2 linked regions of the Saccharomyces cerevisiae S288C genome follow. The protein of the gene in region 2 binds, or shares a complex with, the protein of the main gene of each other region. Each region holds a gene or a part of one and is shown on either strand. Other genes may lie near its edges. A codon is read from its position in the direction of its gene.

Region 1 (5,355 bases), 350 kb from region 2:
TCAATAAATTTTAAAAATTTGAGGACATATGAGAATGGCATAACCATCAGTGCATCTTCTAACTGAGACATTCTTATTCTTAACAGGGTATCCATAATATATTGCTCAGGAGTTTTATTCACAGCAATTAGAACAGCGTTACCCTGTGGTTTTATTGGCGCTTCACCCAACTTCTTTCTTTGCCATAGCTTCATATCTCTGTTATATGCCTCTAAACCTTCAATCTCAGCAATTCCTAAATCTAGCGCCTCCATAAGTCTTTCACCAGCCTTTAACGATTCTAAAGTCTGTTTATGAACACCGGATGCTTCATCTTCAACGCCTTCACCCGATGCATCAGCTTTAAATGCATCATCACCGTTTCCTTCTTCCAAAGAAGTTAGCAATGTATCCTCGTACTGTTCTTCAAGTTCTTTCTCCTTTTCCTCTTCTAAAAATACCTGGTCCTCGGTTTCTTCCCAGATTCTTATACTGTGATCATGGGATGAAGAAACAACAAAGCCGCCATCAGTAGCAACCGCCAAAGCCCAAACTTCGCTCTGATGAGCGTATAGTTTTTGAATGCATTCAAATTTCTCGCCATCCCAATATTTCACCACTGCGTCTTTAGAACAACTAAAGAAGTTGTGAGACTGTGGTAAGAATTTAACGTTCATAATCGAATCCTGATGGGCAAATAAAGACTTGTGACAGTCACCAAAATCTAAACCCCAAATCTTGATATTTTTGTCTGCGGAAGACGTAATAATCATCTTAGAATCAAATGAAATATCGATAGATAGTACAGGTAATTTGTGCCCATATAAACTTAGGTAAAACTTCATTGAGTCCAAAAAGAATACCTTAACAGTATTATCCAGCAACGAGATGGCTAGATATCTATCGTCAGGAGAAACCCGTACACATAAAATGTCGTCAGTTAATTCCAAAGTTGTATCATGGTGCAGTTTTAAAACAGGCAGGAATTTGTTCTTGGTACCTGGCACTAGGCTATTTTCAACTTTGAAATCCCAAAACTTGACAGTTTTATCGGCAGATCCGGTCACTAATCGTTTACCATCTGAGGTCAGATCTAGCGACCAAATTGCCGCATCATGTGCATCTTCAATGGTATCCAAAAGACTTGATGATGCTAGATCAAAGAGCTGTAACTCCCCGTTTCTTGTACCCAGTATGACTAGTAGCCCACCTGGCAAAAACTTACAAGTTAATGCATACCCACATTCGAAAGTTCTGATACATTTATGTGTTTTGATATTCCATATTTTCAATGAACCATTGGATGCTGTGGCAAGTAATTTGTTATCATCACTGATGTCAATACTACGCACATCCGTTCTTTGCCCTTGCAATTCAATAGTATGTGTCTTGAGAGGAGCAGGGCTTGTTGGGTCTCTTTTTTCATATGGAATGGAATAATACTCTATGGTATTACTCGATGTAGTTAATACCAACTCAAGTTTGGAACTTGAGACCGTTGTCCATGATGCAGATTTTATTTTATACAATGATCTTATGGTTTGAAAAGGATGCAATATAAAGGAGGAGTAGGATTCTTTAATAGATTTTGCAATTTCTTCTTCTGTCAACCCCTTTTCTTTTAGCCTCTTCTCTCTTTTCTTTAAACCTCTTGCTATTTCTTCTTCTTTTCTAATTCTGAAAGTCTCGATGGTTTTATCAGCATTTTGGATGTAAAAAAAAGAGGTTTTGTCAGACGAATTTGTTATGAACTCAATCTTTAACCCACGTTGCTTACTTTGCTTTTCGAAAATACCCATCTCTGTTAGTTTCCCCCCCATTTTGTCATTTTCTATATCCAGTTTCCAAATTTTTACTTGACTATCAGTACCAGTTGTGATCAGTAAATCATCCTTCACTGCAAGGCCCCAACACTCTCCAGTATGCGCAATATGTGTCTCTATACATTGATGTGTTTTTAGGTCCCATAGCTTGATCATTCCATCTTTGGAGGTGCTGATCAGCCAATCTTCTCCTTGACACCAAAAGCCAGTAATGGAATCCTTGTGTGATCTAAGTTTATAAAGACCAACTTCTCCAACAAGATCCCATACAATGATATTGGAGTCCTTGGAACCAGAAATTAATCTTGTGCCAGTCCCATCAAATTGTAATAATGTTATAGCTGCTTTGTGACCGTTAAAATTCAAAAGCACAGTCTTAGACATCAAATCCCAAACTTTAATGACACCATCTGCGTAACCGACAGCTAATAAATCCGTATCTTTATGAGCCTCCAAATATGTACACTCGGCTGGCTTGGCGCCTCTAGCATCAGATGCGCCTGGAGGTAAGCCATCGGATAATTTACTGACCAAATCCCCGGTCTTAATATCCCATATATTAACGTCCTCGAGAGCACTCGTAATCAATTGTCCTGGTCCACTACCATTACTATTTCCGGATGACGCAGGTATCCAAACACAATTGGCATTGGAGGCTATTACACCAAAAGCAGCTGCTTGCTCAAAACGTTGGTATGATTTGACCATAATAGCTCTTATTCCAGTTTCTCTGGTCCTTCTAGTGGCTACTCTGATATACGTACGACCTTATACAATATCTACATCTATATTATGAGGGAACTGAAAATTTCTGAAAAATTTTCCACTGCTCATCGCGTTTTTTATTTCCGCCTTATTCCCATCTATCTTAGAAGGGTAACGTATTCCATGCAATATTAAACAGCATACCCTTAAGTATATGAAAGGATGTTTATTGCTGATCCTGTAAGCACTCATAGAACTCATCGATAATAAATGGCCAGGCTGCAGTTTCGTCGTAATCGCTTATTATTTTCTGAATAGTGGGGTATCGTTTGAAAAAGAGGAGCAGCATACGCCAGGTGTCTTTACTTATAGTGGTTTTCCCCTCATCGCGAAGGAAACGGAACCATGCCTCAAGCAAATCTGGTTCCATACGCACTGGGTACTCTGGTTGGAAAAATAGCTTCCAATACTGGATGCCTTCGTCTGTATCTATATCCTTTCGATTTGGGTCCAGAATCAAATTGAAAGCATAGTTATAAATCTGTGTGAAATATTGTAAGTCTTCATGTAATTTAACATCTAACGTCTTGATGCACTCTTGCATGTCTGAAATGGTGGAACAGCCTTGCATAAACCATGTTGACAGGAAGTCCTCTCGTTTTAAGGGTTCTTCTAGTTTCTTGTACCCCAGTAAATGGGCTAAGCATAATGTCGCTAAATCTTCAAGATTGTAGCCTAGCTCCTCAATGAACTTGACCAGTGAGTCTATATCAAACAAGTTGTTATTGATATAGTGTTCAAATACCTGTGTTAGCTCCTTCGGGTATACGGGTGGATGAGCCACAGTTGAAACCTCGTCAGTAAACGTCCCTATTTCCTTGTCATAATAATCATTGAGAGCGTAATTGATGTTCCAGTGATTACGCTGCAGGTACTTCCTGGATACCTTGGGGTCACATTTGGTTAATGAGGTGAATGATTCAATTGCCTCTTGTTCCGGGCTTGCATCCTTTCTTTTTATTTTATTATTACTCTATAATGATGCATCACATTTGAGCGCCCCTTGCCAATAAAGTGTTAGTACTTTGAAGAGCCTGAGAACTAAAGAAACGAAATTAAAAACATACCATGTCCTGAATGCAAGAACGTCTCTTCAAAAATTTCTTTTTTTATTGGGTACTTGCATGTTACTGCGTAAGTTCATTAGTTGCATCTAAATTTTCAAACCTTTGGTTACAAAAACAGTAATAGACAAAAGAGCCAAAATATCGAAAACTAGACGAAAGCCAGACTTAGCGGGACTGTAAATATTTATGGCTTATAGTTAAGGTTTTTCCATCATGTCATTTCAGATTACCCCAACTCGAGATTTGAAAGTTATTACAGATGAGTTACAAACACTTTCCTCATACATCTTTCACACAAACATAGTCGATGATTTGAACTCTTTACTTACATGGATGAGCCCTAATGATGCCAAGAGTAACCATCAACTACGTCCTCCAAGCCTTCGTATTAAGAATATCATTAAGGTTCTCTTCCCTAATAACGCAACCACATCGCCATATAGCATGATAAACACTAGTCAGGCAAACAATTCAATAGTTAATGAGGGAAATACAAACAAAGAGTTACAACTACAACTTTTTTCCACGCTCAAAGAGTTTTATATTTTCCAGGTTCGTTATCATTTTTTCTTACATTTTAACAACATTAATTATCTAAAAGATATCCAACGATGGGAAAATTATTACGAGTTTCCTTTACGTTACGTTCCTATTTTTGACGTAAATGTAAACGACTGGGCACTTGAACTTAATTCTTTAAGACATTATCTGTTGAATAGAAATATAAAGTTCAAAAATAATTTAAGAACAAGATTAGACAAATTAATAATGGATGATGATTTCGACCTGGCAGACAATTTAATCCAATGGCTCAAATCTGCTAATGGTTCCTTATCCTCTACGGAATTGATAGTCAATGCTCTTTACAGCAAAATCAATAAATTTTGTGAAGATAACATGAGTAGAGTATGGAATAAAAGGTTTATGATTATGGAAACATTCAACAAATTTATTAATCAATATTGGTCTCAGTTCTCTAAATTAGTCGGTTGTCCAGAGGATGATCACGAACTGACCACTACAGTTTTCAACTGTTTTGAGTCCAATTTTCTTAGGATAAGAACGAATGAAATCTTTGATATATGCGTTTTGGCTTATCCTGATTCAAAGGTTACTTTATTGGAATTGAGGAAAATTATGAAAGATTTTAAAGACTACACAAATATTGTAACAACTTTTTTGTCTGATTTCAAGAAATACATTCTAAACCCCAGCGTAACTACGGTGGACGCTTTGTTGAGATATGTTAAAACTATCAAAGCATTTTTGGTCCTGGATCCAACAGGGAGATGCCTACATTCAATAACCACGTTTGTTAAACCTTACTTTCAGGAGCGGAAGCACTTAGTAAATGTATTGTTATACGCAATGTTGGACTTACCTGAAGAAGAACTAAAGGAGAAAATTAATTTCAATGTAGATATGAAGGCACTGCTCTCACTTGTAGACACTTTGCACGATTCTGATATCAATCAAGATACGAACATCACCAAAAGGGACAAGAATAAAAAAAGCCCCTTTCTATGGAACCTCAAGGTGAAAGGAAAGAGGGAATTGAACAAGGACCTACCAATAAGACACGCCATGCTATACGAACATATACTCAATTATTATATAGCTTGGGTACCAGAGCCTAATGACATGATTCCCGGTAACATCAAATCAAGTTATATTAAGACAAATTTGTTTGAGGTGCTTTTGGATCTATTTGAATCAAGAGA
Region 2 (7,536 bases):
TTTATGAACAGGTCAAGAGCACTTGGGGACCCCACACACATTAAAGCATGTTTTGCAACTAAGCCCACTAAAACATCCTCAGCTTTCTTGCTATAACATCGTTGTAAGAGATTTATTGCTAATGTTGGATCTTTAGCAAAGGTAGCTTCAACGATATCGCTTGTAAGCTCGTTGCTGTCGGCTCCTTCAATCTTCTCAGTCGGAGTAAGCCAGGTTTGAATCTGCTGGATTTCGCTTGCCAAGAAATAGTTCAGGATCTTGTAATCTTTCCCGCAATGACGTGACATTAGCGAGCTTAATTTGTTGAGCTGAAGGAAAAGGTCCCTAGTAACAGATAAATCTGCTTTGATTTTCAGCTCATTTGAGCCGAATGGCCACGCTACTGGTCTTTTAAACCAACTTAGGGCACCGTTTGTGATTTCTTGCGACAAACGGCCCATATACTTGGATCCCTGCTTATAACTTGCGTTTAGTACGAGAGTCGCGAATAACAATAATTCGTGGCGAATCATTCTAGCGAACGGGTGTAGTGAAGCCTTATACAGATTCTTGATACCATAAAGCGCACATTTCGTGAAAATTTTCAATAAAAAGTCACTTTGAAATAGTGTGCCCTCGAAATGGGAAGCAAAAAATTTAATAACATGAAGATGTGGTTGCATAGCTTGGGATGCATTTTTTGCATCTCTGTTGATACCTGCTTTGTCGTAAGGGGAATATTCCATTTTTTGGTATTCTTCGCCCTTTAAGTCATGATCGCGAGAATAGAGACCAATATTGTCATCAATGGAGCGCATCCAGCAATAGCATACTTCAACTAAAAGCAAATGTGCAACTTCGGGCTTCTCAGTTATGATTGTTAACCATACGTTTGTAGCAATCTTTAAAGATGCAGAGGTGAAGACTTCGAACGGGATGTGCACAATATCATATATCAATGACGCTGGTGCACCATTGCCAAGAATTAACAACGCGGTAGCCATATCAAGAAAATCAGTTACGTCTTTAGTTATAATCTTATTTCCTAAGGTCAAATTTTTTCTTATGTTTTGAGTGGAAATACCTATTTGCCTTTTGATATCCTCTGGTGATGATGTAATAGCGGTATCGAAAAGATATTTTGACCTCCAAGAATGTAAAGATATAAATCCAGAAATCGTGTTAGGTTTCTCTGGACCATAATAAGTAAGCCTTGATAATTCCTTATCTGCAGGTAAAATCAAACCAGCCATATCCATGGCAAATGAGACACCAAATTCAACAGAATTTAGCCTGCTGTACTCACCGAGATCTGATATGTATGATTGCAACAAAATCTTAGTATCCTGGTTGCTTCTATTCAATAGAATTCTTACCCATTCTTTAGCTGACTTGTGCAATCTTGATAGTGTCGTAGCGCGCCAGGACGATGAGCTTGGAACCAATATTGTTGTCTTAGAATGTTTTAATTTAAATTCATACCGTGGTTCAAATTTATGCGCCTCTGAGTCCAAGATACTATCAAATAGGGCTGTTAACATATCTAATAAGGTGTAGAGAGACAAATGATGACATAACGATGATGGAATAGATCTGATAAATATTTCACAGGCATGAAAAGCGGCATCCTGCAAAGTTGGTTCCCTATGAGAAAGGCAAAGTAGCAAGTTATTAAGTTGTTGAGCAATCATTTTGGAGTTGAATATGGCATCGTTACCCTTTTGAATCAACCTAGCATATTTTCTAATCATGGAAACCGACAAAACTGCAATACACTTCTCAATTGAACCGGAAAGAATGGAGGGGTCTGAGAAGTACAGTAGAGTCTTCGAACAATCACCTGCCTCGCATCTTATCGTTTCTAGAAGAACGGCAGCCGCTAAAAACATGATTTTAGACGATGAAGTTGTTCTGTACTGAACAATATTGGTATTGAAATATTCGGTTATCTGCTGTTTTTGTTGTTTGATATTTTCGTTAGATGAACCGCGGCGCAAAATTGTATTCATTTCCAATGAAAGCTCCTTGTTATTAGCAGGAAATTCAGAAGCCAGCGGTGGTGAATTATAGGCAATAGTTAATAAGAAAGAAAAATTTCGTTTGACAATAGGCCCGCCCAAGTGGTACCCATGGATGACAAAATTAAACCAGGCGTTCCTAAACTTGTTTGTAGTGACTTCATCCTTATTGATGTCCAATGGCGTATCGCCTGGAACAGGTAGTAGAGCGGCGAGGGGCTCTAAGTAGGTAGCGATTTGATCAGCAACACGGGAAATCTCCGTTTGAGGTCTGTGATGTTCCAATCGTTCTACTTCCCCACTGGCAATGATTGAGTCCAATAGATCATGAAGATACATGAAATATAAGTCACTTGAAAAATGCCTGGCCAACAATTCTTTTGATATCACACATTTCGCTTTAATAATATTTTTCAATAGTGCGCTATCATCAATTTTTGTTGCAATAACAGTTCTCGATTTGAAGAACTTTAGTAAAAGCGAAAATTCTGTCAGTGAAGTATTCGGAGCCAGTCTTGCCAAAGAATTCAAAATAACACCGTCTAATTCCTTTGACATAGAATTAACTTTTTGCGTAAGAATAGAGATAGTCAAAGCTGTTATGCTTTGGGTGTTATAGTATGAGGCGATTGTAGTCGTTGCAGCCACACAATTAGATATCAAAGAGGCATGGTATGTCATAGTAGCTCCACTATTGACATCATGGGAGGAAAGTTGGCCCACAGTTGTATTTCCGAGCAGAGCACCAGTGCCATCCAAACTGGCAGATGAATTTCGCAAGGGAAAGTAGTCTTTCTCAATATTTTTTCCAGATGTTATTGTTAATTGGCGCTCACGGAGCACCGGGACGGGCGATCCGTCCTCGGAAACAGCTAATAAGTTGTTCATGGAATAAATTGTACTCACAATTGCATCTTCATTTAGAGGGTATAACCCTGTGGTGAATATTTTTGCAACATCATTAACTGTTTCAGTCGTGATATGTGGAGACGCTACCAATAAAGGAAACATACGAATCAGAGTTAATGACAATTTTTCCGTGAAAAAATTCAGTAATGAGGCAGAAGCTACAATTGCTTTTATCAAAGATGGTGTAACGACATCAGATAAGAAAAATTTATCAATAGATTCAGAAACAACGTTTGTAAAACTTTCAAAAAGCTCGCTTTCTGTATCTTCTATAAACGGAATTAAACATAGCGTTTGTAGGTAGTGGGCTCGAGTATCAAAAGAAAATCTTGCACGGTTGTCTGTAGATAGGTCGAGAATATGTGACTCAGAACAAAATTGCAGGGAAATTTTACACATGTCTGTAAAAAACTGTTTATTGCTTCTTACGTTGAAAAAAAAGTCATCAATACACTTCGTATCATCGTTTTCATCGGCTACTTCTTGATCAAATTTGTAAAATTGGTATTGTTGATTTAGTAAGAACTCACTCAAGTTGGCGCCGACATGTGAAGTGTTTAACAGATGAGATATTAGCGAAACTTGCAAGCGAGATATTAATTCCAATAAGTAGGCACTGGATAGCTCATTTCCAGCATCGTAATACTGGACGATTGAATCATTGGTAAACGTTGCTGAGGAATTCAAAATCTTATCAACTTCGTTTAGAAATGATCCACGAAGCACAAGTTTCGCTAACTTTTTCCAGGTGAATTTAGTAAGCTCTGTAGAGTTGGGAAACTGGATAAATGCATTAATAAAGCCCACTAATGATAGTAGACCAGATTGTTTAATAGTAAAAATCTTTAATACACGCTCAAAATAAGTTGAAATGATGCCGCCTATATTTTCATAAAGAACGGGATACTGTTCACAAGCTTGAATCATAAACTTAGTCAGCTGGAAAGTTAGCAATTCAATCGGATTTCTCATCTGTTCCAACTTGAATTTCGAGGACAGAACATCTGAAATTCTTTGTCTTGGAGTTTCCAGAAAATAAGGCGCAATTATTTCTTTAAGCATTGTCTCTACCAGATCGAGCGTGGTAGGGATTGCAACACAAAGCGAAGTTAGTACTTCCCATTCACTCAATGTAAGTGGTATAGTATATATCTTTGACGTATTTGTGGAATAAAAAATAGGCAATGTATGAGTTATCAAATCTAATGTTGTACCATTACTGTTTTGATCATTTGGTGCACCCGTCGAAAGTTTAGTTAGTCTTCCAATAGCTTTCGCTCTTAAAGATGAAGAGGCTTTCAATCCTCTGGTAAATCTCATCTGCCTTAAACGAGTGGCGTTTTCGATTGCTGTAGTTATCTTTTTGTGATCTAATTTTTTTCTTGATTTACAATAGTTATTAATGTTGAATATGTTTTTTCCCACAACTCAAACATCTTCGCAGTATTCTTGAAAAAAAAAAATACTATTAACGTACCTTCATCCCTGCGCGTGCCGTTTGATGATATCAGCCAAAAGGTAAAATGAGATGAAAAAGGCCAATCATTCATAAATGTACTTAGAGACATTAAAGAATCAGTTAGAGAATATAAAACAAGATAATAAAAATGGTACGTAGATGCAACTATATCTTTCCGTTTCTCATTGGCGGTTTTTAGCGATCGAAAATACTAACATAATCTTTTTGGGGGGTGAGAATGTATATGTGTACTGGATATGTATATTCTTGGCTTTATTCAAATAGTTGAAATTACGCCAATTACAAAAGAAAAAGCAAAAAGAAAATGAAAACAGCAGTTCTATTCAGCCTAATTTATCGGCAGCAAGAATTCGTTTGAAAAGGGACCTTGATTCGCTGGACCTCCCACCAACAGTGACTTTGAATGTAATAACATCACCAGATAGTGCGGATAGATCACAATCGCCGAAATTGGAGGTAATTGTTAGGCCTGATGAAGGATATTATAATTATGGATCTATTAATTTCAATTTGGATTTTAACGAAGTTTATCCGATTGAACCACCAAAAGTTGTATGTTTGAAGAAGATCTTTCATCCAAATATCGATTTAAAGGGGAACGTTTGCCTAAATATTCTTCGAGAAGACTGGTCGCCAGCTCTAGATTTGCAGAGTATTATAACCGGGCTTCTTTTCTTGTTCTTGGAGCCTAATCCCAATGACCCGTTAAACAAGGATGCAGCAAAGTTACTGTGTGAGGGTGAGAAAGAATTTGCTGAAGCTGTGAGATTGACCATGTCTGGAGGTTCAATTGAACATGTCAAATATGATAACATAGTTTCTCCTTGAGTCAAGTTCAGAGTAATTTTCGGTTGATTTGATTATATATAAACAATAAAATTATAGATAATTGTGACATACTAGGCGAGTTGTCGCCTTGGTAACATCTTGCTACCGCCATCTTCTGTTAGTTTACGCCTTATGACCAACATTCCTTATATTCTCGTTCAAACTTTTGTCTCGATATTTTGCAGGTACCTGTAGAACTTAATGTGTTCTATTCAAAATAAGTATAAAATTTCTGGCCAGTAAAGGCAAACAAAACATAAAGATATTAATACGAAAAATTTCTTGAAGAAAACAAAAAATACTTCTTATAATAAAGAAACAGCGAAGCCATGGCTATTGACAAGATAATCAGGAAGGTGAGATACCCTGGATAGAAGACTAAGAGAGAGCAGGAAGTTGAAGAACGCAATCTCAGCTATCGCTAATTCTTACAAAAAATAAAGATATTACAACTATGGAAGAAAAAAATGAATGACTATACTAGTTAGTAATATTTAACAAGATAACGCTTTCTATTTTCTGTAAAAAAAATTCTGTCTCATGCACTTGGAAGCAGCTTCAACATTTCTCTTTTCCAGATGTCACATTTTCCGGACCGGCCGTCATTCAATCGCAATTAAAAGAGAAAAATACCAACAAGTGGGTTGATTTACTTTTGTGTTTTCAAAAAGACCAATAGTTCTAACAAAGTAGATGCTTAGAAGTAAGCAAAGTGGAATATAGAGAAACAAAATTAAGTGATAGATTTACTTTTACACAAGAAAAGAGATGAAAATTTTCAATACAATACAATCTGTGCTGTTCGCAGCATTTTTTCTAAAACAGGGAAATTGCCTTGCGTCAAATGGGAGTACCGCATTGATGGGGGAAGTAGATATGCAAACGCCCTTTCCAGAGTGGTTAACAGAATTTACTAATCTTACACAATGGCCTGGAATTGACCCACCTTATATTCCGCTAGATTACATAAATCTTACTGAAGTGCCAGAATTAGATAGGTACTATCCTGGCCAGTGTCCCAAAATTTCTAGAGAGCAGTGCTCATTTGACTGCTATAACTGCATCGATGTTGATGATGTAACTTCGTGTTTCAAACTTTCCCAAACATTTGACGACGGTCCGGCCCCGGCGACAGAGGCATTGCTCAAGAAATTGAGACAAAGAACCACTTTTTTTGTTCTGGGGATAAACACTGTTAATTATCCTGATATATATGAGCATATTTTAGAGAGGGGTCATTTGATTGGTACACACACGTGGTCACATGAATTCTTGCCAAGTTTATCAAACGAAGAAATTGTAGCCCAAATTGAATGGTCAATTTGGGCTATGAATGCCACAGGCAAACATTTCCCCAAGTATTTTAGGCCTCCATACGGTGCAATTGATAATAGGGTTAGAGCTATAGTAAAACAGTTTGGCCTAACGGTTGTCTTGTGGGATCTCGATACTTTTGATTGGAAATTAATCACTAATGATGATTTCAGAACAGAGGAAGAAATACTTATGGACATAAATACTTGGAAGGGAAAACGGAAAGGTTTGATCTTAGAGCACGATGGTGCACGAAGAACAGTTGAGGTTGCTATTAAAATCAACGAACTTATTGGTAGTGACCAATTGACAATTGCAGAATGTATTGGTGATACAGACTACATCGAACGCTACGACTAGAAGTAAGATTTCCGAGAAATAAAGTTTCTCTCTATATATCTTTGATCTCTTATTTAATTATTCAACTCGCAAAAATAAAAAGAATATTTTGTTATTTCAAAAGTAAAAAAGTATGTATTAGAATAGAGGACATATATAAAAATCATATATATCGATGCTTGAATGTATAAGGAAAAGCGTCAAATTATGAACGGTAGGTACTTAGGATGCTGATGTCACATAAAGTCAGAGGGTATAACTTTAAAAAGTAATTTTTTAGAATCTTTTAGCGTCAAAACGTTACACGTACATTTGAACAGTGTTAAGAGTAGATTAATTCAAATTATACTTTTACGTGCTCCGATACAGTCTCTACCTCTTCGTTGTCAGTGCAAATAACAATTGGCTTATCATGAACTGTTCTTGGAGATGGAGAATATCCTTTCAGACTCGTAATATTGATGACGGTAGTTATTCTGCGACATTGAGTAGTACTAGCATCCCTTATAACCGGAATAGTTGTTGATGTAGGTGAACTTTTTGGGACATAACACTTGGCAGTTGTTTGCAAATTTTTTGTGATCATTGATATGTTTCTTAGTGACATTTTTGATGCTATTGTTTTTATAGTGTAATTGCTATGAGTTTATTTTGTTGACAAGTATACTT

Evidence for each region. The genes of interacting proteins can lie anywhere in the genome.
Region 1: the proteins of UBC12 (region 2) and DCN1 are in contact, whole or in part, in a crystal structure (PDB 3TDI), measured with the Saccharomyces cerevisiae proteins. Residues at the interface, in NP_013409.1 of Saccharomyces cerevisiae: Met1 (codon at 4,514), Leu2 (codon at 4,651), Lys3 (codon at 4,654), Leu4 (codon at 4,657), Arg5 (codon at 4,660), Gln6 (codon at 4,663), Leu7 (codon at 4,666), Gln8 (codon at 4,669); in NP_013229.1 of Saccharomyces cerevisiae: Ile90 (codon at 3,276), Asp91 (codon at 3,273), Leu93 (codon at 3,267), Val94 (codon at 3,264), Ile97 (codon at 3,255), Leu104 (codon at 3,234), Glu105 (codon at 3,231), Thr109 (codon at 3,219), Leu110 (codon at 3,216), Ala113 (codon at 3,207), Leu121 (codon at 3,183), Glu122 (codon at 3,180), Leu173 (codon at 3,027), Ile174 (codon at 3,024), Leu175 (codon at 3,021), Asp176 (codon at 3,018), Glu186 (codon at 2,988), Gln189 (codon at 2,979), Tyr190 (codon at 2,976), Leu193 (codon at 2,967).

What each region holds. Positions count from the first base shown.
Region 1 is NC_001144.5:396,812-402,166, reverse strand, and holds DCN1 (NEDD8 ligase DCN1), read right to left. Parts: upstream 3,638-5,355; coding exon 3,635-3,637; intron 3,541-3,634; coding exon 2,734-3,540; downstream 1-2,733. Other genes in the region: snoRNA-binding rRNA-processing protein DIP2, read right to left, coding at 1-2,510; APC2 (anaphase promoting complex subunit 2), read left to right, coding at 3,848-5,355. UniProt on the Saccharomyces cerevisiae protein: Required for neddylation of cullin components of SCF-type E3 ubiquitin ligase complexes. Neddylation of cullins play an essential role in the regulation of SCF-type complexes activity.
Region 2 is NC_001144.5:739,638-747,173, forward strand, and holds UBC12 (NEDD8-conjugating protein UBC12), read left to right. Parts: upstream 1-4,513; coding exon 4,514-4,516; intron 4,517-4,650; coding exon 4,651-5,214; downstream 5,215-7,536. Other genes in the region: 1-phosphatidylinositol 4-kinase STT4, read right to left, coding at 1-4,226; chitin deacetylase CDA1, read left to right, coding at 5,983-6,888; DPA10 (Dpa10p), read right to left, coding at 7,211-7,474. UniProt on the Saccharomyces cerevisiae protein: Accepts the ubiquitin-like protein NEDD8/RUB1 from the UBA3-ULA1 E1 complex and catalyzes its covalent attachment to other proteins. The major substrate is CDC53/Cullin.